Linked DNA regions of Mus musculus: all the other regions are reported to be linked to region 6. The links are microRNA targets in miRTarBase. Many come from high-throughput screens and were not tested one by one. Region 6 holds a microRNA gene; each other region holds the end of a gene's coding sequence.
What was found. Region 6 holds the annotated microRNA mmu-miR-181a-5p (AACAUUCAACGCUGUCGGUGAGU, at 2,967-2,989, shown strand). A microRNA usually pairs through its seed, bases 2 to 8, with sites in the 3' UTR of a target mRNA and lowers its output. Matches are read on the target gene's strand: a 7mer-m8 pairs with bases 2 to 8, a 7mer-A1 pairs with bases 2 to 7 and ends in A, and an 8mer does both.

Region 1: the mRNA of Ptpn5 is a reported target of mmu-miR-181a-5p. The part of its 3' UTR that is shown has no 7-base or 8-base seed match.
Region 2: the mRNA of Slc38a2 is a reported target of mmu-miR-181a-5p. Seed matches in the 3' UTR shown: 7mer-m8 at 734-740.
Region 3: miRTarBase lists Ttyh3 as a target of mmu-miR-181a-5p. Seed matches in the 3' UTR shown: 7mer-m8 at 1,230-1,236 and 8mer at 2,159-2,166.
Region 4: the mRNA of Ednrb is a reported target of mmu-miR-181a-5p. The part of its 3' UTR that is shown has no 7-base or 8-base seed match.
Region 5: the mRNA of Nr2c2 is a reported target of mmu-miR-181a-5p. The part of its 3' UTR that is shown has no 7-base or 8-base seed match.
Region 7: miRTarBase lists Elovl2 as a target of mmu-miR-181a-5p. Seed matches in the 3' UTR shown: 7mer-A1 at 928-934.

Annotation. Positions count from the first base shown.
Region 1 is chr7:47,075,484-47,079,550 of GRCm38, reverse strand. Ptpn5 (protein tyrosine phosphatase, non-receptor type 5) reads left to right here. Exons shown (of 14, transcript NM_001163565.1): 12 at 1-104; 13 at 192-305; 14 at 633-1,753. The coding sequence ends at 726. Among named protein-coding and RNA genes, the nearest start is that of Mir7056, 5.7 kb to the left of the region's middle.
Region 2 is chr15:96,686,430-96,690,496 of GRCm38, reverse strand. Slc38a2 (solute carrier family 38, member 2) reads left to right here. Exons shown (of 16, transcript NM_175121.4): 16 at 269-3,105. The coding sequence ends at 370. Among named protein-coding and RNA genes, the nearest start is that of Slc38a2, 11 kb to the left of the region's middle.
Region 3 is chr5:140,619,676-140,623,742 of GRCm38, reverse strand. It overlaps Ttyh3 (tweety family member 3), which reads left to right. Exons shown (of 14, transcript NM_175274.5): 14 at 212-3,166. The coding sequence ends at 286. Among named protein-coding and RNA genes, the nearest start is that of Lfng, 14 kb to the right of the region's middle.
Region 4 is chr14:103,813,481-103,817,547 of GRCm38, forward strand. It overlaps Ednrb (endothelin receptor type B), which reads right to left. Exons shown (of 8, transcript NM_001136061.2): 8 at 1,135-3,720. The coding sequence ends at 3,586. All of the region lies in intron 1 of Gm35197 (a long non-coding RNA gene), which reads left to right. Among named protein-coding and RNA genes, the nearest start is that of Ednrb, 29 kb to the right of the region's middle.
Region 5 is chr6:92,166,900-92,170,966 of GRCm38, reverse strand. It overlaps Nr2c2 (nuclear receptor subfamily 2, group C, member 2), which reads right to left. Exons shown (of 15, transcript NM_001347342.1): 15 at 1-3,508. The coding sequence ends at 3,334. Mrps25 (mitochondrial ribosomal protein S25) reads left to right here. Exons shown (of 4, transcript NM_025578.4): 4 at 1-1,455. Among named protein-coding and RNA genes, the nearest start is that of Gm46967, 12 kb to the right of the region's middle.
Region 6 is chr2:38,849,775-38,853,841 of GRCm38, forward strand. Mir181a-2 (microRNA 181a-2) reads left to right here and starts at 2,961; the gene lies at 2,961-3,036. The region is part of intron 3 of Nr6a1 (nuclear receptor subfamily 6, group A, member 1); the gene reads right to left. It overlaps Nr6a1os (a long non-coding RNA gene), which reads left to right. Exons shown (of 7, transcript XR_866167.2): 3 at 2,441-2,585. Mir181b-2 (microRNA 181b-2) reads left to right here and starts at 4,056; the gene lies at 4,056-4,067.
Region 7 is chr13:41,182,004-41,186,070 of GRCm38, reverse strand. Elovl2 (elongation of very long chain fatty acids (FEN1/Elo2, SUR4/Elo3, yeast)-like 2) reads left to right here. Exons shown (of 8, transcript NM_019423.2): 8 at 664-3,689. The coding sequence ends at 777. Among named protein-coding and RNA genes, the nearest start is that of Elovl2, 36 kb to the left of the region's middle.

The DNA of each region.
Region 1 (4,067 bases), not on the chromosome of region 6:
AAGACCCCCGACCGGGCTCCCCCACTCCTGCACCTGGTACGGGAAGTGGAGGAGGCAGCCCAACAAGAGGGACCCCATTGTTCCCCAATCATCGTTCACTGCAGGTGGGTTCTCCTGGCCACCCACTGGAGCCGGGCCACCCCATCCCTGGACTGCTCTGTCCCTTACCCCATCATCCCCTTGGCCCTCAGTGCAGGGATTGGGAGAACTGGCTGCTTCATTGCCACCAGCATCTGCTGCCAGCAGCTGCGACGTGAGGGCGTGGTGGACATCCTGAAGACCACGTGCCAGCTCCGTCAGGACAGGTTAGCCCGCTGATCAGGGGAGGAGAGGGTGGCAACATGATGTGAGCGTGAATCGAGGGATAGCTGACAAACCAGACATAGTGTGTAAGGTGGCTAGGGAACTGAAAAACCAAATGGGAGAGCACAGAATCCAGTCAGCTCTCTTCTGGAAGAAGGCAGAAGAGAGGCAGCTGGTTTGGAAAGACAGTGCTGAAAACAAAGGTGTGGCCCTGAAAGGAAGGGGCAGAGGGCAGTGGCTGGGAAGAGTTGGTCTCTCTAAGCTGCAGACTAGCTGGTGCCCCTAGTGTTGGTGGCCCTCCCGCAGCCTACTGCATCTCTACTGGGCAGGGGTGGCATGATCCAGACATGCGAACAGTACCAGTTTGTGCACCACGCCATGAGCCTCTATGAGAAGCAGCTGTCCCTCCAGTCCTCAGAGTGACCACGCTCTTCCTCTGAGATCCACTGGGTACTGCCAAGCCTGAGGCTGGGTCTTTACCCCAACTACCCAAGATCTTGCCTTGGGTCCTGGGCCTATTCCCTGGCCCTCCCCCTCATCCTCCCCTCTCTTCAGTCTGTTCCCCATCTATTGTCCTGGCCTGGTCCCTACCCCAAGCCTAGCTCTCCTACTGTATATACTGCAGAGTTGGGGAGGGCAGGGGAGGAATGTGCCAGGCCAGGCCTGGGGCCCCTGGGCCTGACCCACACCATATAGACCTGAGGGCCTCAGTTTTAACCATGGTTCCACAGCTACTTGGTCCAAAATGTTTCCATGCCACACCCCAAGTGTCCTACCATAATGTGTTCTGTCTGTCCATCTATCACAGCTATTTGTACCAAACACTGTGTCCCCTCAGCCAGGAAAGGAGCACTGAACTAAGCTCTCACCCCTCAGCCCTCACCCACATCCCCACACCAGACTCCCACCCTGCTCCCCAGGCAGAGATACTGACCTTCCTCTGGCCCCACTGGCTCCTCTGCAAAGGCAGAGTGCATTTTGCTACCAGGATGTGGATGGCAGAGACCAGGCAGGGGAGCACATGATGGTTGACAGAGAGATCCCAGCTAAGACAGTTCCTGGGCAAAGATGAGTATCTCCAGTCTATGTGGCACTGGAGAGGAAGAGGACAGATATAGTGGGGAACCCCAAAGATCTGAGCCCTGAGGGGGGCCTCCAAGAGTAGGATGTGGACAGCTCCAGACCTGTGAGACATCTTTCTGTGTCACTATGGGAAACCGCAAGTGTCTCCCTACATGTTGCTCTGTGTGTGTTCCCTTGTCCATGCGTGTGTTGAGAGCCCATGAACAGGGCATGCATGACTCTTTGGCAACATGTGTTATCTTGGAGCCACGTGTTTTTATTGCTGACTTTAAATATTTATTCCACGGCAAACGGAGACATTTGGTGTCTTTTTTTAATCCGCTCGTGGTCATTGAATAGAGCAATAAACAGAGCATTTTGAGCAAAACTAGCCTCTTGGGTCTGTCATTTCCTGCTCTCTCCTGACACCCTAGGCTTTTGTGTGCACCCCCCACCTCCCCACACCCACACCCACACCCACACCCCTCCCCGCCCCTAGCTCCTGCTTCCCAGCACATGTGCATAAAGTTGGCCCTCATGCTCGCTGGCGCCCCCTGTGGAGATTGTGAATATACATAAAGCTGGGTTTAAAAAAGAAAAAAAAAAAAAAACAGTCTATTAATAAATACCTCAGAATTCCCACTTGCGGGCTGGTGAGATGGCTCAGTGGGTAAGAGCACCCGACTGCTCTTCCGAAGGTCAGGAGTTCAAATCCCAGCAACCACATGGTGGCTCACAACCATCCGTAACGAGATCTGACTCCCTCTTCTGGAGTGTCTGAAGACAGCTACAGTGTACTTACATATAATAAATAAATAAACCTTTAAAAAAAAAAAAAAAAGAATTCCCACTTGCCTTCAGCCCCAGCCCACAGAGGTGCACCACACCATAGGGAACCTCAAAGATGTGTATGGGACGATTCCAGGAAGGCAAAGTAACTAACAGGTCACCAACTACAACAGGTGAGCCAAGGAGCCCAAGGGCAGGGCAAGAAGACATTTCCATCTCACCCAGGCTCCTCTCTCATTGGATAGCACACTCCTTTTCTCTGGAACCCCATCTGAGCTTTAGACACCCTTATTTTTTTTCCTTATTATCCGTGGTATCCCCTCCATGGTTGAATCTTTTAAGGCCCTGCTGGCTGGCCAGTAGCCCTGCCCCAGGGTGACTTCCGTTTCCCAGCAGAGAATCACAGCTACCTTTGCTTCATCCCAGGGGCCAGGGATAAAAGCAGAGAAGTGTCCCAAGTGGCTTATGATCTAGTTCCCTGGGGCCCTTTGTGGGGGAGGAGCTACTCTCAGCCCAGGCCTTACTTCCATGGGAAACTGCTGGTTTGCAGCCGCTATTGGGACCCATGGGGCTAACATGGGGTAAATGGACTAGTCAATAGGTCCAAAGCAGGGATGCCAGCTCAGGGAGATCTCCCACCCAGAGAATGAGCCTTTCTATGTAGATTTCAGACTGAGGAGGAGTAGGAAGGAGGAGGTCTAATGTTATCCCTTGCCCCACCAGGCCACAGAACGCAGCACAAACGGTATTCCCCAGGACTTGTGCTAAGCGGTACATCCACCAGACTCATCGAGTGCCCCTCTTCCCAGTACTGGAGAGACAAACGCCTCTGACTTTTTCCCCAAACCCTGTTAAGCTGTGCGTGCTATTGTGCCCAGGCACGGACAGGCACATATGCCAACCTGAGCCCCTCAGCTTGGAGAGGTCCCAACCTACAGCAGTGAGAAGCAGAAGGCATAAGGCACAGGAAGCAAACTGCTTGCCTGCCGCCTCAGCTTCCCTCAGGCCTGATCCCCGGCATTCTGCCCATTCTTGGGTCCAGCTTGCTCCCCTCCCCTAATTCCTACCACCAAGCTGTGTGCCCCAGTGCTGAGACAAGAGCCTAAGAAAAAGACTCCCCCAAAGGTCTATACAGCATCTAGGGATCTGGCAATGACCAGTGCCTGCTATTGGAACAAAGAGGGAGGAGACCGGCCATCCTACTGGCAGAGCAGTAGCTGAGCCTCCAAGTCACAGGCACAGTATTCAAAGGTTAGAAGGCACAGGTTAGTACAGAAGCTAAGGCTTCCTGCCATCTCCCCTGGAAAGAGCCACGAACTGGTACTTTCTGTACAAGAAAGGGATATGGTCTGAGGCAGAATAAATGGTCTCAGAACCAGAGATGGAAGGTATATAGTAAGGCAGGAACTGGGCACTAGCCTCAGAGCACCTGCTCGGGAGAAGGCTTTAAGCCTGGAGGCCACTGGGACAAGGCAGGGCTGGAGGAGCAAGAATCCCAGATGCTTTTCTTGGTGACAAATCTGGGTAGGTCATTTCAGTCACACATGTTTCCTCATATGCAAAACAGATTCTTAAAAACTACCACATAGCGGGCGTGGTGGCACACGCCTGTAAAGCACTCAGGAGGCAGAGGCAGGCAGATTTCTGAGTTCGAGGCCAGCCTGGTCTACAAAGTGAGTTCCAGGACAGCCAGGGCTATACAGAGAAACCCTGTCTCAAAAAAAAAAAAACAAAAAAAAAAAAACAAAAAAACAAAAAAACAAAAAAACTACCACACAGGTTAACTAAGAGGCAGGTACACCCACTCACTGCAACACCAGGGTTATCATCCAGAACAAAGAAAAAGCCTTGTAAACTGGTATACGGAGACCCCCAAGGCACAGAGAGAACACAGGGGCAGAACTGTGTGTCTG
Region 2 (4,067 bases), not on the chromosome of region 6:
TTTTTTTTGTGACTTAATTTGCTCTGAAAGAAAGCTTGCGTACACACAAAGTCTAACTTTCAAAGGGAGAACTTTGGCTTGAGGGGAAAAAAAAAGAATGAAAAATTACAGAACTCAGAAGGTTTCAGCAATACAGGATTTCTGTGCTACAAGAAACACAGGAATGGTTTGATGACTTTAAGAACAGTCAGGTGAAATTAGAGTATTTGTAAGTGTTGTGATGTGAACTCTTGGGGCCTTACTGATGAGTCTTCTCTGCCTCCTGCAGGCTCTGTGTTTTCTCCTGAGTGGCATAGTGGTGATGATTGGAAGCATGGGCTTGATTGTGCTGGATTGGGTCCACGATGCCTCCGCTGCAGGTGGGCACTAACAGCTCCCCTCACGCTGGATGGTCCATCCGCCTGCCTACCGTGTTGAGTCGACTCAGCCTGCTCAGTCTCACCTGATGCGTCCCGGTCACTTCCTTTTGAAGTGCAGTCTACTCGCTGGTTCTTCTGGATTCAGAATAAGTGAACTTTTCTTTCTCTTTGGTTTTTTGTTTTTGTTTTTGTTTTTTTTTTTTAAGAAGCTATCTGTGTGTTAGGGAATGGATAGTACGACAAAACCACGAGCCTTGGGTTAAGGGAAGTGACAAGTTTATTCCATTCCAGAGAATGGACGAACTTTTAACTTTTTATCAAAGCCACATGTTTGGCTGTCTCATTGTTTAACTTGGATATTTTATGATTTTACTTGAATGTGCCTAACGGAACCATTCGATGTGAGAAACACTTCTTAATTTACAGCAAAGTATTGAAATAAGCATTGAGAAAATACACTTATTTTTTGTACCAAAAAATACTTTAAAAGACCTCAGAAGCACTATTTTACTTTGAAGAAATTGCATTTTTGAACTTTACTCAGAACCAGTTGTCAATAAACTCCATCAAACAATTTCATTGATATTTAAAAATGAATATTAGTATTATGAAATTATTTGCCTTTTTTGTGGGCATTATAAGCCAAATACTTTTTTACCCAAAAATCATTTTCGGGAAAAATGTTACAAAAAATTGCACCATGGATTAGCATGGTTTTGTTTTTGTTCATTCAGATTCATTTGAAGGATAGTTGGTCGTTGCTGCACCAAGTCAGGTGAACTCCGTTCATCGCTTTCTTTGCCTCCAAATAATTGGTTCATTACAACTAAAATGTTTATGTCTTCAATTAGTCTGGGAAACAGTGCCGAGATTTCTGTAGGAAATGAAATAACTGATTTTGAGGTACCAAATAGTGCAATTGGGTAAGACAGGGTTTATTCAGTTGCATCGGTCTCCAGAGTTACAGTGTCAGCTCTGGGTCGTGCTTTTTGGGCCCATCCTTTAAAACCTTGCTTCCAAAAGTGAAAACGGGCGTTTGATGGCAATAGGCCAAAACTGTCCAATAGAGAGCAGAACTTCCAAAGGCTCATCTACTGGAAGCGTGGTTTACTTGACAACACGCAGCTCAGTGGTGCTCCTGCTGTGTTGGCAGTCCAGGCTGCACCATGCAGGTACACTGCAGGCCCTCCTCAGAAAGGTTTCTCATGCAGCAAGCTTCCTAAAAACTCGAACTGGATCATCATCTCATTGAATGAGATGCAGAATCAATTTGTTTACATCGAACAAATGATCAGCTAGGGGAGGCGGGACAAGCTGCCTGTCCTCGGTGTCTGGTCCAGCCGCATGCTTACCTTTCCATTTCAATTCCAGTTAAACGTGAAGACATTACTTGGAAGCTTGGCTTTAAGAGCACATTTACTGTCTGTTAACGGTGTATGGTGAACATATTTTTAAATAATGAGGTACTTTGCTCATCAAGCGTATTGTCTAAGGTCTAATTAATATACATAATTCCATTAAGTGGTGGAGGGAAGCAAGTAGAATCGTCAATTGGTTATCTGGCTCTTGAAACTACATGTTTTGAGTTTGAGGCAGGGGCCAGAAGAAATGTGACACACATGGTTTTTGTTACAGTCTTGTATTGTATATGTGACTGAATTCATAGGCAAGGTATGTCTGCCATTAAAGACTCTTGCAGACTGGAAGACGTCTGGTAGTGCTACATACATTGGGTACAACCAATGGTCAGTTCTGTCCCAAGATGAAACCCCTGGGGACTGTGTAGACGCAAAGGCAGTGAGAAGACACTCCCCCATGCTGCTTACTTGTCATCAAGTCCAGAACCTCACCTGCTCGTCAAAGACTCTGCACCTCCGCTTGAAGTCCTGGAAAGAGTCCTGGCTACCATATGCCAGGGGATGCTGAGAGGCAGGCATCCTGAGAGGTGCCATGACAACCAGGATCCTGTTCACAGCCGATCAGTGTGGAGAGACTTCCCAAACCTCCTGTGAGGGAGCAAGGTTCCAAATGAATTTCAGGCCAAATTCCAAAGCTTGGGGCTGTTTTACCCGCCTTGAGGTTCCTGAACTGAATTCTCAGCCTTGAGCAGTCTTCAGTATTAAAACCACTGTCCCGTCACCTCAATTCACATCGCTGTCTTCCATGGAACGTTTCAATAACTGTACTGTTATTTATAGAGCAGCATTAATCCATTAAAGCTAACCTATTTTTCAATATTTATGATAAACTGTACATATATTGTCCATATGTATTTGTAAATAGATTGTATATACTGTTGGAATTGGGTTCAAGTGTATATATTCCCCTAAGTTTCTTAACTGCATTTTGATGAATTCACATTATATATGTCTCCAAATTACTTGTACAGAGAATTCAATCTTAAGAAATTGACATTGTGTATAATACTAAAATTGAAAATAACTTGTTTAAATTGTATTTGCAATAAACTGGTTGGACATCAACTTAAGTTCAGATAATCTAAAGCTTTAAATGAGGTCTAAATTTTCAAAATGCAGTAGCTACCACATGGCTATCTGGTAACATGTCAAGTGTGATCTCAATGAAAGAGGACTCCTTGTATGTATATAGTGTAAATGTCCCAGCTGTACTGTTAGAGGCCAACATGCCTCTGTGGCCTGTTGGCAGAGAGTAAATGCTACACCGGTTTCAATGAAACAATGTATGTTTGTTTTAACTGAACTAAAATAAATACATGATTAATCAATCCTCAGTAGGATTTTTTGTTTCCTTCTGGGTAATGAGTTGAGGGCCAGAGGTACGTGTGGAGGAAGAAACTGTTCTACCAAGCTTGCAGAGTTAAAAGTTAGGGAGGTGAGCTGGGTGTGGTGGCGCACGCCTTTAATCCCAGCACTCGGGAGGAAGAGGCAGGCAGATTTCTGAGTTCGAGGCCAGCCTGGTCCACAAAGTGAGTTCCAGGACAGCCAGGACTATAGAGAGAAGCCCTGTCTCAAAAAAAAAACAAAGTTAGGGAGGTGGAGATCCAGGCTTAACCATGCTGGTGGTAACCTGTCGTGCATCCAAGTTGACAGCAGTGCTCTCTGGCATTCGAAAGCAGTCCTGATGCACACTGGACATTAAGGAATCCTGGGTGTGAGAGGAAGTCAGGTTTTGATGGTTGTGAAGGCATGGTCTTCCTTAGGAACCTGAACGGCAACTTAGCTTAGGTATAACCCAGTCCTTTCAGGTTTTAATAAAACAAAAGGCTTCCAAAGGCACAGGTCTGAGAGATGTCCCAAATTTGCAGTGCCATTACAAAATGGCTAAGGGCTTATGCAGAGCTAAGGTTTTAATAGGCATCCACTGGACATCTACTGTGTGCAGTTGACGTCGAAGTAGTGGTGGGGTTCTGTCATGTTGGTTCTGATGTTGGTTTTGATCTAGTGCTTTGTTAGGCTACAGTTTAAGCATTTAGGATTGGTAATGCATGGGGGGGGGGGGGAAGTCCACAGAGTGTCCAGTGGCACTAACCAGTGAGCCAGCCATTTCTAAGTGATTCCTCAAAGCCCTTTGAGACATTGAATCAGACATCCTCATACCTGGAGAGATGACTTGGAAGAAAAGCGATGATAACCTGCAAGTTGGCATAAGCAAGATGTGGTAGGTAGAACATTGGGTCCCTGGGAGGGTTATGCAGATGTGTACGTCAGTGGCCTTGCCAATATCCAA
Region 3 (4,067 bases), not on the chromosome of region 6:
CTCTAGGTACCATCACTTCCCTAACCTGTACTCAGCCCTTGGTCCAGCCCTGGGCCAGTGGCCTCTTACCTTAGGATTCCGCCAACCATGCTCTCCCCAAGGGTCGGCTGTGGCTCACCCTACCAAGGACCACATCAAAGAGGCTGCTGGCTGCTCAGCCCCCACCTAGGAACTCACCTGACCCTGCTCCCTCCTTCCCTCTCTCCTCTAGTACACCTCCAGCATGAGAGCCAAATACCTCGCCACGAGCCAGCCTCGCCCCGACTCCAGCGGCAGCGGGCACTAGACCGCACACCGGCCAGCCATCTGCCCCCACGTGCCAATGCCCCACCCTTCCTATGCCAGCACCGCTGCTTCCGCCCTGCTGGACCTTCCACAAGCCACACCGGGCCAGCCCTAGGCACACCTGAAGGCCCCCCCGCTATACCCACCCTGCAGGAGGCATGGAGGTGCCCAGCATGAGCTCCGGGCCAGCCTGTGAAGTGAGGCTTCTGGGGTGCTCACCTGGACAGTCGCTGCCACCAGCAACCTGACCCTGCCTGCCTCCGTCTCCCCTGCCCTTCTGTCCTCTTGGGCTCCCTGAGCCCTGCTCTGTGCCGGGTGCTTCCACCCTGCCTGCGTTCCTTCTACAGGTGACCCTTCATGCTGCCCCTTGCACTCTGGGCGTCCCCCTCCCCACAGCTACAGCGAGCCTTTCCTGGTACTGCCCTACCGCCACACTCCTGAGAATCCCATCTCCATTCACAGGCAGGGGACCCTGTGCCTGGCGCCCACCTGCTCATCACCGAACGGCCCCTTCATACTCTCTGGTCTTTGCAACGTCCGGCGCCTGCCTTCCCTTAGCCACCTGGCTTACTTGGCTCTTCCTGTTGGTTCTGAGCTGCCTCTAGGGTGGGGCTCTTCTTACACCTCCTCCCCACATGACTCTTCCCTCAGTGCCCAGCCAGCCCTCCCCAGACAGCAGGTGCCAAGCTGAGCCCAGGTCACTCCCTGGCCTCTCAGTGCTGGCCACCTTCTTGGTGCCAAACCCTCTTTCCCATTCATTCCTGAAGAGTGGCAGCTTTGTCTTCCCCTTTGTTTTTGCACTGACCACACTTGTCATCTCCAGGGCAGTCTGGGACATAGGCGACGCAGGACACTGCCCACTTTCCTCTCGGTTTCATTCTCACCCAGGACAAGCGGCAGTGCCCTCTGGAGCCCAGCCTTGGGGGCTGGACCTGTGACGGCTGTGAATGTGCCCCCAGCCTCAGAAGGCCCCCCCCACCCCCCGCTGGGACTAACCACTAACCTCACTCTCAGCTGCCATGGGCACTCCTGGCTGACCCTGAGCCAGCAAGCGTGACCCTAAGTCTAGCCTGGAGCCAGGGCTAGAGTGGTCATTTCTTTGTGGGGTGCTGCCAGGGAGGGGCCAGACCCACAGGCTACTCAAAGGGCCTAGAGACCCCTCCCCAGGCAGGTGCTGCCCCAGGAGGAGCATGTCCTGGGGTCCGGGGACTGAAGTCCATGTGGCCTCAGCCCCCCACACCCAGAACACCGCTTGCCTAAGGTGCTTTTGGCTTTAGTGTGTGATGTTTGCTGTGCTTCTGGGCTGAATTAGCTTCCAAATCAGGACCTGGAGCCTCTACCCTGGCCCAGCCAGCCAGTGTGAGCTCTGGTCTGTGAGATGGGCAGCTACGGGCCAGTGGAGCAGCATGTGGTGGGAGGGGCAAGGCTGGGACCCAGTGGTTTACAGACCTGTGGCCCTCCTGGAGCAACCTGGCAGCTACGGATCCCAGAACCCCCTGGGCTTCAGCTCCCCCAGAGGGGAGAGGCTCCACGTTGCTTTCCTTCCCCAAAATCCCTTTCTTTGTGCTGGTGTCTGGGACCAAAAGGAGTGGGCAGAGGACTCGGAGGGCCTAGGGGTCCCAGTCGGGGCATCTGTAGCTCCTAAGCACGACAACATCAGTGCAGGGGACCCTGGCCTTGACTCCAACTGGCCTGGCGCCAGGAACCTCCAGGGCCAGAGCAGCCCAGCTGCAGCCAGCCTGCCCACTATGGGTATGTTCCTGGCCTAAGGTCCGGAGGGAGGTTTGGGGTATCCCTGCCTGGGTGCCTGGGTGTGCCCTGGGGCCTCTCAGAAGCACAAATGCTGCCCCCTGGCCGTGAGCAGGCCACAAGGTGAATGTATATAGCATGAGAGGCGGGCACTGCCCGGACGTGGCTGTGAACTTGTGCTGTCTCGGGAGTCCTGACCTTCTGTGCGTGAGTGCCCCCATCTGTGACGTTTCACTCACCGAGGCTGAAGAAAGGAAGCAGGGGAAATGAAAGCAGGGGTTTCTCGCCCTGACCCCTGCGGAGGAGACGGCTCCTACCACTGCGGTTGGCTTCATTTCGTTTTCCTGATTTCTGGGGTGCCACTTACCTACTCAATCCCAGTGGTCCACCCCCACATCCCCAGGGAGTGAGCAGTCCAGTGCCAGCTGCCTGTGATTGGTCCCCAGTCCCTATTACCCAAGGGGACCCTACAGCTCTGGTGGGTAACAAGGAGGGCTAAGCCACCAAACCAGAGCCCGATCCCTTGCCGAGCCAGGAGGAGGGATCTGGCTGAGAAAACTGATAGGACTGGAGGCCCCCACCCCAACCAACACTCTCTGGTTTATGTGAGTAGCAGAAGATCCCGGCCTGGAGCATCCTTCAAGCCCTTCTCCCTGTGCCCACCCCGCCCCCCCCCCCCCCCATATCACTATGCAATTCTTGACCCCAGCTCCAAAGCTTGCCCTACCCGGTCCCAGCTCTGTCCGGCCCAGAAGGTGGCTAGCTGGTGGGCCACAGGTGACCAGGGTCTCTTTGTTTTTCATCACAGCGGTGGTGTGCCGCACCCTTCCTCCCATATGTGATTTTGTGAGATTGCCTCCCAGTTACGGTCCCTCTGCCTGCATCTGCCCCCAGTGGACTATGTCATCTGAATCGAGCCAGCCCCAAGTTCCCCTCCAGCCTCTGTAGGGCCATGGCTGTGTGTTACTGTTGCTGTGCTTTCATTTTTTAAACTGGGTTTGGGGTTTGATTTTTATTTCTGTGGGGAACTTTATTTTTCTTGGCAAATAACTAAAGTTCTTGTCCATGTAATTTCTGTGGTCTCTATTCAGCTTGGGTTTCATGTTTTAAAATAAACAATTTTAAGAAACAGCTCTCTCTCTCTCTCTCTCTCTCTCTCTCTCTCTCTCTCTCTCTCTCTCTCTCTCATTCTCATCATGAACACTGTACACAGAGTAGCTCAGGCTAGGGACACAGGGTTGCTGAATGAGGTCTGTGGGAGCAATTGGCTGGGAAGGAGCCGTAGAGTGACACTATCTAGTATTCATTTCGACTGAATTGCTCTAGCTGCTGAGTCAGGAAGGGATGAAGGACGTATAGAAGCCAAGGACCAATCAGAAAGCTCTGTACTAAAGCATGGCTCCAGGGAGGGGCTGGGGCTGTGGCTCAGTGGTAGAGCCCCTGAGTGGTAGAGCCCTGCCTAGAATTCCCCAGGGAGGCTCTGGAGGCGTGGCTAAGTGGGAGAGCCCCTGCCTAGAATCCCCCAGTGATGGGCTAGAGTGTGGCTCAGTGGTCCTACCTAGAGGCCCCCAGTGAGGGAGCTGTATGTGAAAGCTGAAACAAGGTTCAAGGGAGGCGAGGGTCCAGCAGGAGGCACTGGTCCCCCCATCAGGAGAGTACTTGCCAGTCTGAATCCACAATGCCCAGAGGTTTATGTTGAGGAGGAAAGTGGATGGTAGTTCTGCTGAGAATGCTTGTGCTGGCACCTGCGGCTTGAGCCACACTGATAGGCAGCCCGAGACAGCACATGAGCCTTCTACTTGACTCCCTTATTGCATAAATCAGACATTAGAAGGCCAGGGATGTATTCAGGACTTTGAGCATTCACCTAACATATGCGAGACCCATGGCTCTATTTTCAGCACTACTAAGGGAGAAAGACCAATAAATCAGAAGGGAATATATTTAGTATCACATGGAACTTACGCCAAAGCAAAGGCCTGCAGTTCTTCCTGGTTGTAGCCCTAGATCTGGGGGAGGGTCTCTGGAAAGCT
Region 4 (4,067 bases), not on the chromosome of region 6:
AGTCTGGTTGTCAGCTTACTGAGCAGTTTGGGAGAGGCCCTTCACATGCTATTTGTTGTCAATTTTAGCCTTCGGAGGTCTTGACTTTTGTCTTTTATCTCTTCTACCATATTTTCAAATTTCAAGAGCACTATCTGAATTTCTAAGTTTTCTTTTGAATATTAAGCACCTTGATTTGGTTTCCTTTGTCTTACATCTCTGGGAAAATCAAGCCTAATCATGTGGACTTTTTCTTTTGCTTCTTCATGCATCTCCCACATTAATTGCAAGTTTCCTAAGATGCTTATTGGCTTATTCACTCACTCATACTTTAAAATGTGGCACCAATACTTCACTTACAGCTTTTATGCATGCGCACAGAATGGAGATGGCACACACCCTGTTCAGAGAGAACTTTCCTTACTCTCTATGTGTACATAAGAAGGATCCCCAATATGTGAAATTAGAAAATGATCAACTGGGAAGGATGGCTAAGTATGTGTGATCAGAAAATGATCAACCATGAGTGATAGCTACATATGTGTAATAAGACATAGCAAGGCCATTATAGTGGCATTTAAATTCACTTTCCTTGATAATTATGTGTTTAACATAAATGATGTCCATTTACTGTTGGGCCCCATTTTGGCCCTGGTTTGGGCCTTGAGGATAAGCCCCAGCCTGGCTCGAGTTTCTGCAGCGTTGTGGGAGAGCCTAAGCCTGGCTCTAATTTTGTGACCTGCCTCAGTCACTTCTGTTATCAGAGTGACTCAGCAAGACCTGTTTGGCCCTGCCTTTGCCCTGTTGCTGATGTAGAGCTCTGCCATTGTCAGTCCCTCCATACCCTCTGTCACCATTCCATGTCTTCAATGTCATCTTACCCCACCAAAAATCCCCTCCCAATGTTCTGAACTTATTTAAGAGAGGCTGATGCCATAAAGTTGAGTTCCTGCTTCAACAAGACTCCCAGCTCGGTGCGTTTCTTTGGGCTGTGGACACTCACCATCCTGCTCAGCCCCAGAGAGACCCCGGTGGGCGGGACCAGCAGTTCTCTCCTCTCTCCTGGGCCTGCCGGCAAGGAGCAGGCACAGTTACAGCATCTCTATTCATTTTAATGATTGACTTAGGATTTATGAATGAGTAGCGAAAGATAAGCTGCTCTTTTAAACCATTTGAACGTTTATTGGTTTTGCTTACTCAACAAGAAGTTAGCAACGACACAAGCTGCCACTTTAGGTGACCAGAGCAAAACAAAACACAGTTATTTTACACGGCTTTATTACAAGTGCATGTTAGGTACAACACACCCGCATTTGGATGAAAACAGTGTTCCTTTGGCTGTTGCACATTATCAATACTGAAAATGTTTGAACACAGACCAAAAATAGCAGTAAATAATTTGGGAGAAAATAGGCTGAAGTCACTTACAAATCGTTTGACCTCTAACATCCTTGTTAACACTATTTTTATGCATTGCTATATTAGGCTACTTAAATGTTAGAAAATATGCTTTAAATTAGATGGTACCTTCTCTTATCTTGGTTTTAATTATGCAAGGGAATCATGTTTTTTTTCTTATCACCCTTGGTCTGTGTGCTAAAATTTTTAATAAAAAAGCCACTTAATATAGTTTTATTGTATATATTATGTGAATAGTATTCTTATGCCATTTCATAATTTGGCAGGACGATTATTGCCCATGAAGAGGGAAGGAACATCTGGGTTAAACAAAGATGTTAGGACTTAAGAATTTAGAACACAACAATAAAACCAATCTAAAACTTAGTAAAAATTAAAAATATATCCACGCTGTGAAACTACTGGGGAGCCAATAACTAACTTAAAATTGAAGATCTGGGGCGTCCTTTATGATTAAAAAGCAATCTGTACACACAAGAACTGTGGGTGACTCCTAAAGAGAGTCATGTGTCACGTGGATTCAGTATTGTTCTTGGTTTTTTACCTCATTGTCCCGTTTGGGTTTATTGTATTGTCACAATGATTTTGGTAGAAAACTGCATTGTTAAGCTCATTTTCAACATGTGGCCTGGGTTATGAAAAGAAGAGAAGAGAAGAGAAGAGAAGAGAAGAGAAGAGAAGAGAAGAGAAGAGAAGAAAGAGAAAAAGGAAGGAAGGAAAATCTGTTATATTTTAAGACAAGGTTAAAGCTCTCGGGCTTGGTTTGTTCCCGAGTCACGCTGAGAACGCTGCGCTTTGTTTTGCTGGAGCCGAACCAGGACCTTTCACACCGACATGACGTGGCAGTGACGAACACAGGGCTAAGAATGGGAATATTTCCCCACGGGCTTCCTCTGGCCCCACCTCATTTCCTCTCTCTTCAGTTTTCTCTTGGGCATTCTTTCACACACCGCTCATCCGGAGTGAACCTAAGGCACGTCGTGGAAGGAGATTAAAAAAAAAAAAAAAAAACCTAGACAAGAATGCGCAAAGAGGAGGATCTTGCAGACCCCGAAGCAGTTTGGCTTCTACGTTTTAGAAAAAGCACCATGTCCAGAACGCCTTTCTATTGGCTATTTTCAGGAATAACATAAAAAGTTGGTAGTATGCCTCCGAGAGAGCTGGTTACAGTGACTATTTTCTATGGCGTTAAACCACGGTATTTTCGCTATCATATTGTGCTGTGGACCATTTTCTCTACAGCATGGCTGAAAGGATGCTCCCTGCTTCTTTGCCATGTGGACACTGCACCGGGCAATTCACATTCTGTCTATAACCGGGTTACTGGCATCTCTTTGTCAGAAAGCTACGAACGCTGGGACCTGCCCTTTGTTAAGTCCTCTACGTGTAGTGCTTATAGCTAATAGCTAAGTATTTACAGATGATGAAGTTGAACACATGGAATTTAAACTTCAATCATGAAAGGATATTTGAAAGAACTTTAAAGAAATCATAGGTAGTGTTCTGTTTTGTGTCTTTCTGCAGAGTATGTGTGAGGGAATTTCAGAAGTCTCAGGCATAGCAGCTCACGCTTTCCCATGTTTTCTCTGTGGCATTCGCAGGCTGTCTTTTCTTCCCCCGAATTCTGATCATTTCAATGTTGGTAATGACCAAAAAAGTTTACCAACCATATTGCCTTTTCTTTTGCATATAGTTACAATCAGATTAGTGGGTATGATAGTATGCATAAAAATTTATTAGTTTTTTTTTTTTTAAGTTTCAAATTAAGCAATTGAAACTTCGTTTTAAGAATTGTTTTGCAATGTCATGCTTTCTTGAATCCAGATTCATAGGACTGGATAATAAACTCCTGAACAGAACTTCAGTGAAGTTCTCGTTTTTTTAAACGTAAGTGGCATGTGAACGCACTAGGGGCTTTTAAGAGCTCTGCTGAAGTGCTGACTAAGAATCTAAGTGCTTCCCCACGGAGGAGGGCTTCATTCCTTCCCACAGCTTTCTTAGGTTGTAAACAGCCCGTGAATATATCCGGTGTTGAGCGTCAGAACAGTTAAAAATAATCCCTCTCACACGCGCGCACACCTTTCTGCTAGCATGGTTTTTTCCATTTTGATTTGGCAACGGTTTCATTTTGTTTTAATGGTATCTGTCCACAATGAGGACAGTGAGATTCGGCGAGTGTTCTTGCCTTCAAGACGAGCTGTATTTATTGCTGGACCGGAAGTTGTCATATCCGTGATCGTTGGCTTTGAACTTCAGGCAGGACTGCTTCTCCTCCAAGGACTGCTTTTCCTCAAACGTTTGGCACCAGCAGCACAAACATGACTGTATGAAACAGAACGACCATTACATGCGTACTCAGGCACACGGCCACCGCTCTGCTCTTCTTGCGCTGGGGCTCTGACTATCCTTGCAAGTGTGGGGTTCCGGTTCCCTCTCTTTCCATACCCCCTTTACCCCCCCCCCTTAAAAAAGAGATGCAATTAAGGCCAGCAAGATGGCCTGGAGACATGTTTGAGCACTAGAACTCATGGTGGAAAGAGAACAGACATCTGAAAGTTGTCTATGTGCACACACACATGCACATGTGTGTGTGTGTGTGTGCACAGATTCTGATACACACATGCACACACACACACATAGTAGCACTTATGCATCATGTGATGCATATA
Region 5 (4,067 bases), not on the chromosome of region 6:
GAACCTTGTACAAAACACCTAGGTCAACCTCATCTCATTTTGGAGTTGTCTTTAGAAATTGACATAAGAGTTAAGACTTTTTGCAAAGAACCGTAATCTGGAGATTGGTTCTCCGTAATTGGAGATAGGCAAAGGAAAGAGGTGGGCATCTGTCTTACCAGGACCTTCCCCCTGGGAAAAAAAAGCAGCTGTCAAGTGATGCTTTTCAAGGCCTGGATCTAGAATTTCAGCAGCACCAACAGCCCCGCTGCACCCAGCCACTGGAAAGCAGCAACAGTCTTCCAGACCCCCATGACATCAGGTCCCAGACAATAGGTCCAGCTCTTAGGGATACTGACCAGAGAACTGCATGAGCAGTACTACCCTTCAAAACAATTTTATATAGTGTGGATGCTGCTGCTCCATTTGAAAGCCATACTGACCACCCTGATTGATGCCATGACTACCTCAGAACACCATCCACATCTAATACTGACACTGACAAACTAGAAAACCATTCCAAGGGCATAAGTGACTCACTTGAATTTCATTATAGAAACTCAAGACACCACAACCCCAACTGCAGCCTCAGAAAGAGAAGAGGCAGTGAAGAGCCTCTTCAACACACACTGCAAACTGGAAGGACAGCGACACATTGTAACATTTGAGGAGTAACTAGGATGACTTGCTTAAGGAATTTGGTCTCTGTCTACATCTCCTGTCATATTTTATCCCAAATTTTAACATGGAACTATCAACATTTAAGACCTTTCTGGAAAAGAGCCTAGTTAGCCAGGGTTGGTGTGTATCTCTCCACCCTAGCCTATCTGCAAAAGTAGCCAGGTCAGTGTGTCTGTCCACCTCCCTGAGAGGGGTGTCTAGACAGGTCAGCCCTGCTTCATAAGGCTTGGAGTATCACAGACTCATAAATCAAGGGTGGAAAGCCCTGAAAGCTGAAGCCCAGAAGCAACTGGGGCTGACCTTCATAGGTCATTCGACAAGCCATGGAATGGAGCATCATTCAAAGTTTGAAATGATTTCAGTTAATGAGAACATTGTATGGATACAATTGTTAAAGGTAAGGCCACAACGATCTGGACAACCAGTGAAGGAGTTTGGCCCAAAGTGGCCCTGTCAATTGGCCATTACTAATGACGGAACTTACAAAGGACCAGAGTTAGAATCACCAACTCTTTTCTATATTAAAAAAAAAAAAATTTTTCCCCCTTCAGTGTCATCTTAGAGGCTGGTACTTCTTATCCAACTATGTGGTCTAAATACCAAATGGGAGCCAGGCTGTCCAGGCCCTGTCTGAGTGGCTCACATTCTAAAACCCTAAGGGAAGCAAAGCCAGCACTGTAAGGTGTACTGATTAATGTACTACAGGAATCTCTACAGAGATTAAAATAGACTCGAACTATACTGGTGTCCAGAGCTTTTGTCTTAATTTTGAATACATACATAAAAAAAAAAAAAGCTTTAAGCTGGCAAAATTATGTCCTTTCCATCATTTTATACTGGCAATCCCTGCTGTTCTCCAACACTGGCTTCCAAATCTAGCTGGGAATTTAGAAGTTAGAGATACTTCTGTACTTAAATCCCACTAGCAGTGAATAAAGTGTCATTAACTCCTCAAAAGGAAACAGCCTATCTAGCCTTGAGCCCCATGGCTGTACCTGCCCATAAACAGGTACAAACTTAACCTTACAGGAGGTATTTTGCTTAAGTTCTGCTAATCTAAATGCAAATACCAAGTATATTTCCACTTTTTTTTTTCCCAGTCTCCTGTCCATAGGAATGCAAAGAGCTTTAAGTCAGATCTAACTTCCTTGGAACTGAATTCTGTATTCTTTCTTGTTGGAAACTATAGTCATTATAACGTAAGGGAATTTGTGAATGAAGGTTTTTCTTTTTTCTTTTGGTACTGGGGATGGAACCCAAGACCTTGTGCATGCTAGGCAAGCACATTACCACTTAAGTCACCACCCTACCCCACTCCCTTAAACTCCTTTAAAACTCAGGAGTTTCCTCATTAAGTTGCGCAGATTGGCCTTCAAAGTATAATTCTTGTGCCTCAGCCTCCCAAGTGCTGGGGTTACAGGCCTGCACTATGTGCCCTGACTGAGGATTATTTTTGGATTCTCTTTCAGAGAGAAGATGATCTACTTTTGTTATCTCAAATGCCCCAGAGAGCTTTGTTGGACTAGCACATACCTGGGAGAACTGAAGAACATCGTGTCCCAGTACACTAAAATCACTAATACTTAAAAGATCAGAAAGTATTTCTCTTGATGCCTTTTGTTTCACAATCTAAGGCCAGTCCCTCACCAGACAGCGAGGATACACAACCCCCACCCAGCTGCAGGTTCTGAATGATCAGATACTGGCCCCTCTCCACATGCACCAGGAATAGGAACTCTCACTGCAGAAGCCACACTCAACCTGGACAACAGGTCATGTCAAAGGGTGCAGTCAACCACCTTGCACTCTGGTCAAAGGCTCCAGTTCCTACAAGTTGGTAGAGGGATCCAGGTGTACTTTCAGTCACTGGAAGAATTACAGGACCCTTATCACAGGCATTCTGACAAGCTGCAATCTAATTCTGAAAATTAGTGGAGCCCATGTTCTGGAAGAGTCTGCAGAAAGGCATCAGGGATTGGGACCAACCATGAGGGTAAGGACCCTGACAGGCTATCTCTGCTGGCATAGCAGCTCTTATTGGGTCACTGCAAGTTATATCCCCTGCACACAATGCCAGGAATCCACATTTTACTCACAGGAATTTAGCGTAGCACCACCACTGCACACAGCTAGAAGTGCTGCCCTCTTACAAATGTGAACGATTGTCTCCTGTACCCTAGTGAATTTTCACAGAAATCATTAGCATTTTGACAAAAGAGACACAGTTTTCCATTTGCCCTGTCCACAGGTAAGATGTTAACATTGCAGATTTGATAAGAAGTGCTTAGAAAGTGCTAACATTACCCTGGTAATTAGTAGCTATTAATTCCAAGGACTTTTTTTTTTTAATGTATTTACACATACTGTTCTTAGGTTCTTTTAATACTAGTCTCTGACATTATAAAACTTCAGTATTGTTTTTTGCCCTTTGAGAATTTTAAAATACAAATTGAATTAAAAGATTGTTCCAAAATCTGCATCACCAAAAGGTGTTAAAACATTTCTTAGGGCAGGGAAGAGTTCATCTTTAGTTGCTATTGTCTGGGATGAACAGGAAGAAGTGGCTGACACACTGGAGACACCTGTGCACACCAAGACACTGCTACACTTCCCTTCCCTTGCACCTGCACAGTTCTAGGAGGCATCCCACTGTTGGCAGCTGTTGGTTGTGCACTATAGACTGGCTCCAGTGATCTGGCCATTATATTCTGCTGTCTCCATCTTGAGGATGTAAGGAATTATGCTGTCTATTGAAACATTGCCAATGAGACCAGTAAAAAAAAGTTCTTCTGTTATGTTGGAGCTCATGAGCCTGAGTGCTGGTAGGCGGACAAGAATCCTGGCCAATCTGGAAGAGAGAGCAGGCATTAGAGAAATGAGGTGTCTGGTTGCCTGTGGCCAATTCTTGGAGGTCCTTTTGGCTCCATGTACAACTAAACCAAACAGACCTACTATATCAATCTGATTTTGTTGTTGAAATTAAAAAATACAACAAAAGTTTAGCATGAAGGTAAAAAAAGTATAAAAGGTGTGTATGTGTATAGGATTGGTGAGATGCTCAGTAGATAAAGGCCACTGACTACAGTACCTGACACCCTGAGCTTGATCTCCAGAATCCATATTGTGGAAGGAGAGAACTAACTCCTACACTTGGGTTATAATTGCACATATGCACACCTTCAATCCCAGCACTCGGGAGGCAGAGGCAGGTGGATTTCTGAGTTCGAGGCCAGCCTGGTCTACAGAGTGAGTTCCTGGATAGCCAGGGCTACACAGAGAAACCCTGTCTCAAAAAAACCAAAAAAAAAAAAAAAAAAAAGAAAGAAAGATTACACATATGCATGCCCATACACATACAACATAAATGCAAAAACCATTTCTAATAGTAACTATGAAGTCCTTAAACT
Region 6 (4,067 bases):
TCTAAAGTCCAGGTCAATCAGGTCTATAGGTTGAGTTTCAGGACATCCAAGACTACCCAGAGAAACCCTATCTGGGGGGGGGGAGGGGGGGATGAAAAGTATCTCAAATACAACAGGAAGTATCTCCATATCAAGAACAGGATTCTTGGAATGCTGTACACTGAAGAACAGGTTTTATATTTTAATTTGGTGCAGCAGATATCACTGTTTCTGATTATCTGTTCTAAGTAATATAAAGCTTGACATCTCTTAGGAGACAAAGGCAAAGACCATTTAAAATAAACCTAAGCCAGAGGTTTTAAACTACTACACAGGAAGATACCTTCCTTCCTACCTACCTTCCTTCTTTCCTTCCTTCCTTTCCTTTTTAAAAATTTATTTTACTTATATGAGTACACTGTAGCTGTCTTCAGACACACAAAAGAGGGCATCAGATCTCATTACAGGTGGTTGTGAGCCACCATGTGGTTGCTGGGAATTGAACTCAGGACCTTTGGAAGAGCAGTCAGTGCTCTTAACCACTGAGCCATCTCTCTAGCCCCTATATTTTCATTTCTTTGGGCTTCCATTTCACAACAACCGAACTCAGCAAAGATTACAAGAGAAGAATTTTGGGGCTGGTGAGATGGCTCAGTGGGTAAGAGCACCCGACTGCTCTTCCGAAGGTCAGGAGTTCAAATCCCAGCAACCACATGGTGGCTCACAACCATCCATAACGAGATCTGACTCCCTCTTCTGGAGTGTCTGAGAACAGCTACAGTGTACTTACATATAATAAATAAATAAATATTAAAAAAAAAAGAGAAGAATTTTGATGGAGAATGAAATAAAGTGATGCAGAATGTAAACAATTCCATTTGAACCAAATTCTCGCTGATTTTTTTTTTTTTTTCCCTCTCAAGAAGTGCCATTTGGCTACTTTAAAAATGAATCTTCATCACTGGGCATTGTGGCACACACCTTTAATCCCAGCACTTGGGAGGCAGAGGCAGGTGAATCTCTGAGTTCTGAGTTCGAGGCCAGCCTGGTCTACAGAGTAAGTTACAGGACAGCCAGGGCTATACAGAGAAACCCTGTCTCGAAAACAAACAAACAAACACAAAAAAGAATCTTCAGCTAGGTCAACCATCAGTATTTAAACCCAAAGCGGCTGGAGAAATGATGGCTCATTGGTTAAAGAGTACTGGGGGCTGGAGAGATGGCTCAGCAGTTAAGAGCACTAACTGCTCTTCCAGAGGTCCTGAGTTCAAATCCCAGCAACCACATAGTGGCTCACAACCATCTGTAATGAGATCTGATGCCCTCTTCTGGTGTGTCTAAAGACAGCTAAGGTGTACTCATATATAATAAATAAATAAATCTTTAAAAAAAAAAAAGAGTACTGGCTGCTTTTCCAGAAGACTCAAGTTTGATTCCCAGCACCCATATGTGGGCTTATAACCATCTAACTCTAGTTCCAGGGAATCTGACACATTCCTCTGGCCTTTGAGATTATCAGCCATATACTTAAGCAAACACCCATACACATAAAAATAATAAATTTAATAAATACATTTAAGAAAATATTTAAACACAAAGTATCCTAGATTAGATAGATATTAACCTCAATTCAGCCAGCAGCTCTACAAAGCTTCTATGTTGCTTAAAATAAAGCCAATATTCTGAAAAATGTTTAATTAGTTTTCAAGACTTTTCATAAAAAATATTCAATAAATAGCCAGGCATGATGATACAACCTTTAATCTTAGCACTCAGAGGAAGGCAGGCAGATCTCTGAGTCTGAAGCAGCCTGCTCTACATAAAGAGAGTTCCAGATAAGGGGAGGGGAAGGAAGGGGGAGGGGAAGAGAGGGAGGGATGGGAAGGGAGGAGAGGAGAAAAAAATGAGGAGGAAAAGAGGGAGGGAGGGGGGAAAAGAAAGTCAATAAGTAATAAAAAATAACCACCCAAAACAAAGATCAGATACATCTGGCATTTTAGTTGCTCTGTGTTCTTCTAAAGATTTTTATTTTTTAAGTATGTATGTATGTATGTATGTATGTATGTATGTATGAATGAATGTATGTATGTATGTATGTATGTATGTATGTATGTATGTATGTATGTGTGTGTGTGTTTGTTCAAGTGCCTGTGAAGGCTTGAGTTGACAGATCCCTGCAGCAAGAATTGGTAGTTACAGATTGTGGTTAAGACAGGTGCTGGGATCAAAGTCCCGCCTAGAAAAGTACAAGTTCTTATCTGCTGAGTCATCTCTCCAGATACACTCTCTGTGCTCTAGTACACATAGAATTTTTACTTTTCCTATATGGGGAAAAAAAATCATGGAGCATCACTAGCACTTCTGTGGTAATTTAGCAGCCCATGATTCTCAGCTACTGAGTTTTGTTTTTCATCTTTTTCTCTGAAATATATGACTTTAGATGTATTTTCTACTATTACAGGCAAACAAGAAGGAATTTGCTTGTTTGATTTAGCTCTGCAGTAAAGGTTCAAATCTGAGACTGGTAAAGGAAGGAGAAAGCAACATATCCAACCAATACTGGAACAATGAACTCTGGTGTTCAAGTTCTGGCTATGGAACTCCGGGTAAGTCTCTGTTTCTTAAGGAAAACACGGTTGGAATTAAATATACAAATCCTACTACACATAAGTCCCCAGCATGTGTTATGGTCTTTCTTGTTTTTGTACATTAATAATTAAAGTATTACTACAAAATTGCTATATTGATGTTTTCAGAATGATAGCATTGAAAAATATTTCCACAGATATCCACTTTTAGTCAGCAATGTAAACTGCAGTCTCACAATCCTGCAGCTCATTTCTGCTTTATGCAAACTAACTTCACAGTGTAAGTACTGTTAACTTGAAATTTTGGGAAGAATGTGAGAGACCCAACAGCAGTGGTCCTTAGAATATGAGAGCAGGCCAAAGATGGGCAACCAAGCCAGCCTTAAGAGGACTCCATGGAACATTCAACGCTGTCGGTGAGTTTGGGATTCAAAAACAAAAAAACCACCGACCGTTGACTGTACCTTGGGATTCTTACAGACAACAAGTTTCCTGAAGCAAAGGAGTAGGCTGTACAGATATATCATGTGACAGACATCACAAGATACAGTCCTGTGGCCTCTTTTCTAAAGGGAACCAGCAAGTTTTTTTTTTAAGCTTCCATGTATTTATATTGTCTATTTTTTGTAATTTCTTGATAAATAAGTGTTTCATTTTAACAATTTATGGGAAGTGCCATCATAGTACCAAATGCACTCAAATATCTTCTAGAAATGTGTCATTCTAGTCAGAAATAGGGTGTATTAAAAATGTCTATTTACTGTAGGAAAAAAATCTAGTTAAGTCTTTTATTCTCATTTCTTCTACGTCCTTTCAAATTTTTGCTTTAGGGTCAAGAGATTTACTCAGCAAAAATACTCACAGAGTTACTCACTGTCTATACAAATCATATTGTGCCTCCAGTTTCAGTTACTGCGGTTAGGGATTTGACATCTCCATGAGAGAACCAGATACATTTCCATCTCCATGTGCTAATTTAAGGAATTCTGGGTCATCTCTGAGCCTCCGTATCCAAGTATGTTTTCTCAAATGTAGAATAGGAGAGGAGAGAACCTCAGAGTTTTAATTTAATGAGAAGATATATGAGGGTACTTTGAACAGTTTCTGGCTCACAGCAAATGTTTACTACAAAAATTTTTACTTAACTGCAATCATAATCTATACTGCTTTACCTTGAAAAGGGCACTTAACGTCTCAGCTTGAAACAAAAGATGAAGCAATGTCTCTGAGGGCTCCTTTACAGACATCAACATCCAAGTCTCAGCCCATGTGATCAGAGCTACTTACAAGGTTCTCACATAGTGCCTTCTTCCTCACAACTTTTCTGTCTTGAACAAGTTCTTGCTATACAGTCAAGGTGATCTATAATTATGAGTCCACAACCATACAGATGACTAGTTACTAACATACAACAGACTTCAAAGAACCATAGTGGGAAGAAGAGCCAGGAGATAGAAAAGACCAAGACAATTTCATCAAAAGGAAACATTGATGGCTGCA
Region 7 (4,067 bases), not on the chromosome of region 6:
CATCCCAGTCTTGGCTCTTGCTAATACCATCATTGCCTTTTAAAATGTAAAAGCACCGCTATCCTAGCACTAGGGATGTAGAAGCAGATGATCAAGGTAACTGTGGGTTACATAGCAAGTTGGAGACGAACCTGAGCTGTGTGAGACTTTGTTTCAATAAGCAAACATGAGAGGACAGACCAGGTATTTCATCAGAATGACAGAGAGGGACATCCAGGGCTGGCATAGAGCTCTGTGGCAGTTGACATCCTTACCATGTATGAGTCCTGCTTTCCATCTATAGTACTAAAGCCCTGTCAGAATCAGAAGATGTAATTAAATTGCAATCTCAAAATAAAAAACATAAAATAGCAGCTCCTTTTACTCTGAATTTTAAAGGAAGTTATTATGTTTTTCCAAGTGAACAACCAATGAAAGAGATTGATCGCTAGCAAATTATGATGTCACTCAGATAAAGTGAAGTAGCTTTGTCTGACATTCATGTGTCTGTGTTGGCTTTTACCTGAGCTTTGCAGCAGAGGCTTAAAAATGAACAAATTCTTATTAGAAGGTCCAACGCCAAGGAAAACTGTGTAGAACTTTAACTACATGCTATGTCGGGAGTTAGAGACAAGGCCTTATTAAAATGCCTCCCTGCTTCTTCTCCTGTCTACACTCTGACAGACATACCGGAAAAAGCCAGTGAAGAAAGAGCTGCAAGAGAAAGAAGTGAAGAATGGTTTCCCCAAAGCCCACTTAATTGTGGCTAATGGCATGACGGACAAGAAGGCTCAATAAAATGAAGTGCCGGGGAACACAAACTGAGGTGGTGGCGGCGGCGGCGGCGGCAGCAAACAGACGAGCTTGTTTTAAAGCAGAGACTGAATAGAAAGTTGTATGTTTTAGCATAAACTAATTCCTTTTGAGTTTGTAAATCATTTGTACCCAGAATGTATTATAATATATTGCTATTAGGTTACTCTACTAACTGGAGCCATGCCGACCTCTACAAACCTTGAACAGGTGCACAGCCCCCTCTCCGGAGCGCTTTGTAATGCCTTATTCACGTCGAAAACCAGGAGACTCGGGCTTCGTTTCTTCATGGCAAGTCTTCAGAGTTAATTTTCTTTAGATGTGTAAAACTGTTCATTGTAGTGTAAATGTCAGGGTCTGTTCTAGTCTATGTCAAGCAATAACTGTCAGTGCATAAATCGATTAGTCTGCTGTTGCTTAAGGCAGCAGCCCCAGGCAGCATTTAAGCGGGATCCTTAGCAAGACAGAATCCAGCAAAACCCTTTCCCCTCTCAAGCCAGGAGTCTCATCTGCTACATTTTTTTTAACCACCTCTGATTTCCAACTTAGTGATGTGGTAATGAAATTCGTTTGTCTTCAATATAGTTTGAAGATTAGTCATTCCATGAAGGAACAGCCTCTTGAGCTGGGTATGGTGGCACCCATCTGTGAGTCCAGCATTTGGGTATTGAGACAGCCTAGGGTACACAGGCACAAGACCCTGTCTCAACCAGAAAAGAAAAATGTGTTTGCCAAATCATAACTCAGGGGCTTTGAACAGAGCTGTCTCTGTTTCAATTGGCATCCTTGCTCATCCATTCCTGTCTACCTCCCTTGTTAGTCTAGATTTCTGGAGTTATGTTCCCCACATCCAAAGCCAGTGTCTACATACAGCTGCCATGCCCTTTCTGAACAAAGGCTGGAGTTGTCCAATTGCAGTTCTTCTTCGCATAGAAATGCAATTGGAATATTTACAAATCATAATCAACAGAGCCCCAGGGGCAAAATAGACATTCTATTTGTCAGCTGTTGCTGCTGAGCCTGCTGGTGAACACCATTGCAAGCAGTTGCTGAGCCTGCTGGTGAACACCATTGCAAGCAGTTGCTGAGCCTGCTCGTGAACACCATTGCAAGCCATTGCTGTCAAGCTTCATGAGTTAAATTTAACTGTTAGAGAGGAGAAAAGCATAGCAGTCATTTGGAACGATCTCGTGGGGTGGGACTAAGCCATAATGATGTGTCTGGCTCAAGCAGCAATGCTGTCCCTGCTCAGAACTGTGGTCTCTGTGGAGAACCTAGTACAGAGCCTGAGCAAGGCAATGGACCACCTCCTTTTCCTCAAACTGATGGATCACCACTGTTAATCTATACCAGGTGTGAAAAAGGGCATTTCCCAAAACATACACAAAACACAACTTACTCTATTTCCCCTCCATTTCAGCAAATGTGTTCTTGGTTCATGGCACTGGCACCCAGCGCATGGGCACCAGGTAGGTGTTCCTCGAGTGCCAACGGCGGGGCCTGCCCACCCCTGTCTTCCTTTCTGGGCAAGCTCCCATTTTAACTTTTCCCTGTTAAAAATTGTACTGATGTTTTAAACTCGTAACTATACCACCCTTCTCACTGGTGTATTTTGAAAACCACCACAGTCCGATGTCCTGTGCCATGTCTGTCATTCCTGTTGAACAGACTCTTCCTGTCTGGTGACCACCTATGCTTCAGTGCATTTTCTAAACAATTTCTCAAACTGATCTGCTCCCGGGTGCTTTCTTACCACCATCTCTGGTGACTTAGCCTCAAATTGGTGTTTTTCTTTCCCAAGAATTCATCTTAAGGGTTAGCTTTGAGTATGTTACTGTCCTTCTATGACAAGACCAAAGGAACAAACTCCTTGGTGAATCTGGAGTTCAGCTTTAGTTTTCAAACACAATCTGAAATCTGTTAGTAAAATGAATTCTGGGTAAAAATGAGACTCAAGAGGCATCACTGGCCATTGTACCAGATTATTCCTGCTCGCCAGTGAGAGGCGTTTAAGTCGCGCTGTGCATCGTACCTTCAGTTTAGGCTGTTTTCATGACCTCACATCTGTGTAGCACAAAGGGTGTTATCTTCCTATAGCAGATCAACAGTGGCAGCTCACAGTACCAGCCAGCTTTAGACCTCCCAGTGCAAAGCCCAGCGCAGCACTAAGCCTTAAGCCACCCAAGGGCTGACACACCATGCAGAGCTACGAAATCTGTGCTGAGAAAATGCCATCTGGAAAGATTTTTAACCCATTCATTCTTAGTGTGAATTTTCTAAAATAGAAGTATAAAAAAAAAGTCTCTATAATCTGATAGGAAACCGTCTTTTCCCAAGTGAATTCCCTTTTATTCATGAGAACAAAAGTACTTAGATACTATAAAACCTTAATTTCCCCAACTTTTAAAATAAAATGGAATATTTGCTGAATGAATTAAGCATAGAAAATGTCAACCCATCAGAATTATATTTATACATATTGGTGGATAAGTTCTTGTCTTCCCACATCAGAGAATTTTTTTTTAAACCAAAATGGGCAGAATAGCATTTTGTATGTTAGAGACCATTCTTTTCTAGTCCTTCCAAACATTCCTGTGTCACTTAAGAATGTTAGTAGAGGTCGCTTCTTTGGAAATTGAGGACTTTTTTTTTTCCTTTGAAAGTATGGCATCTGAAGAACACAGTATCATGACTCGGGTGGAAAGGGAGGCAGAAGCCATTTTTCTTTTAGATGAAAAGCATTCTGTGTGATTGTTGTATAATAAATTGATTTTTACACTAAAACATCTTGCAACTTTTCTTATTTGGTTCAAAGAAACTAAAATGTGGGCCTGTGCAGTATTCCAAGTGGCCTATTATTCAGAGATTATTTACCAATAAAGTGATATATTAGTGATTAATCTTAGATTCTTAATTCATTTCAACAAGCAGTGGGATGTTAAAGTAACATTATTAATGCAATACTTATATACCCAGTTAAACTATCTCAGAAGGAAAAATTAATAGCAATCAGATAAGCAGAGGCTACAACTATTAGAAACTACTTACTATAAAGAATAAAAATATATCATGATGCACTATATATATTATAGTACAGTAACTATACCATAGCACACTACACTATGCAATGGGAGCACAAGTGACATTGGTTACCAATACTCTGGGCACCTGCAGTGTCAGCGGCGATTTCTTCTCAGGAGCTGAAGCAGGGCCACAGTCTACTGTTTGTCAGCACAGAGGCTACACTGATCCACCACAATGAAGACCCCAAGGCT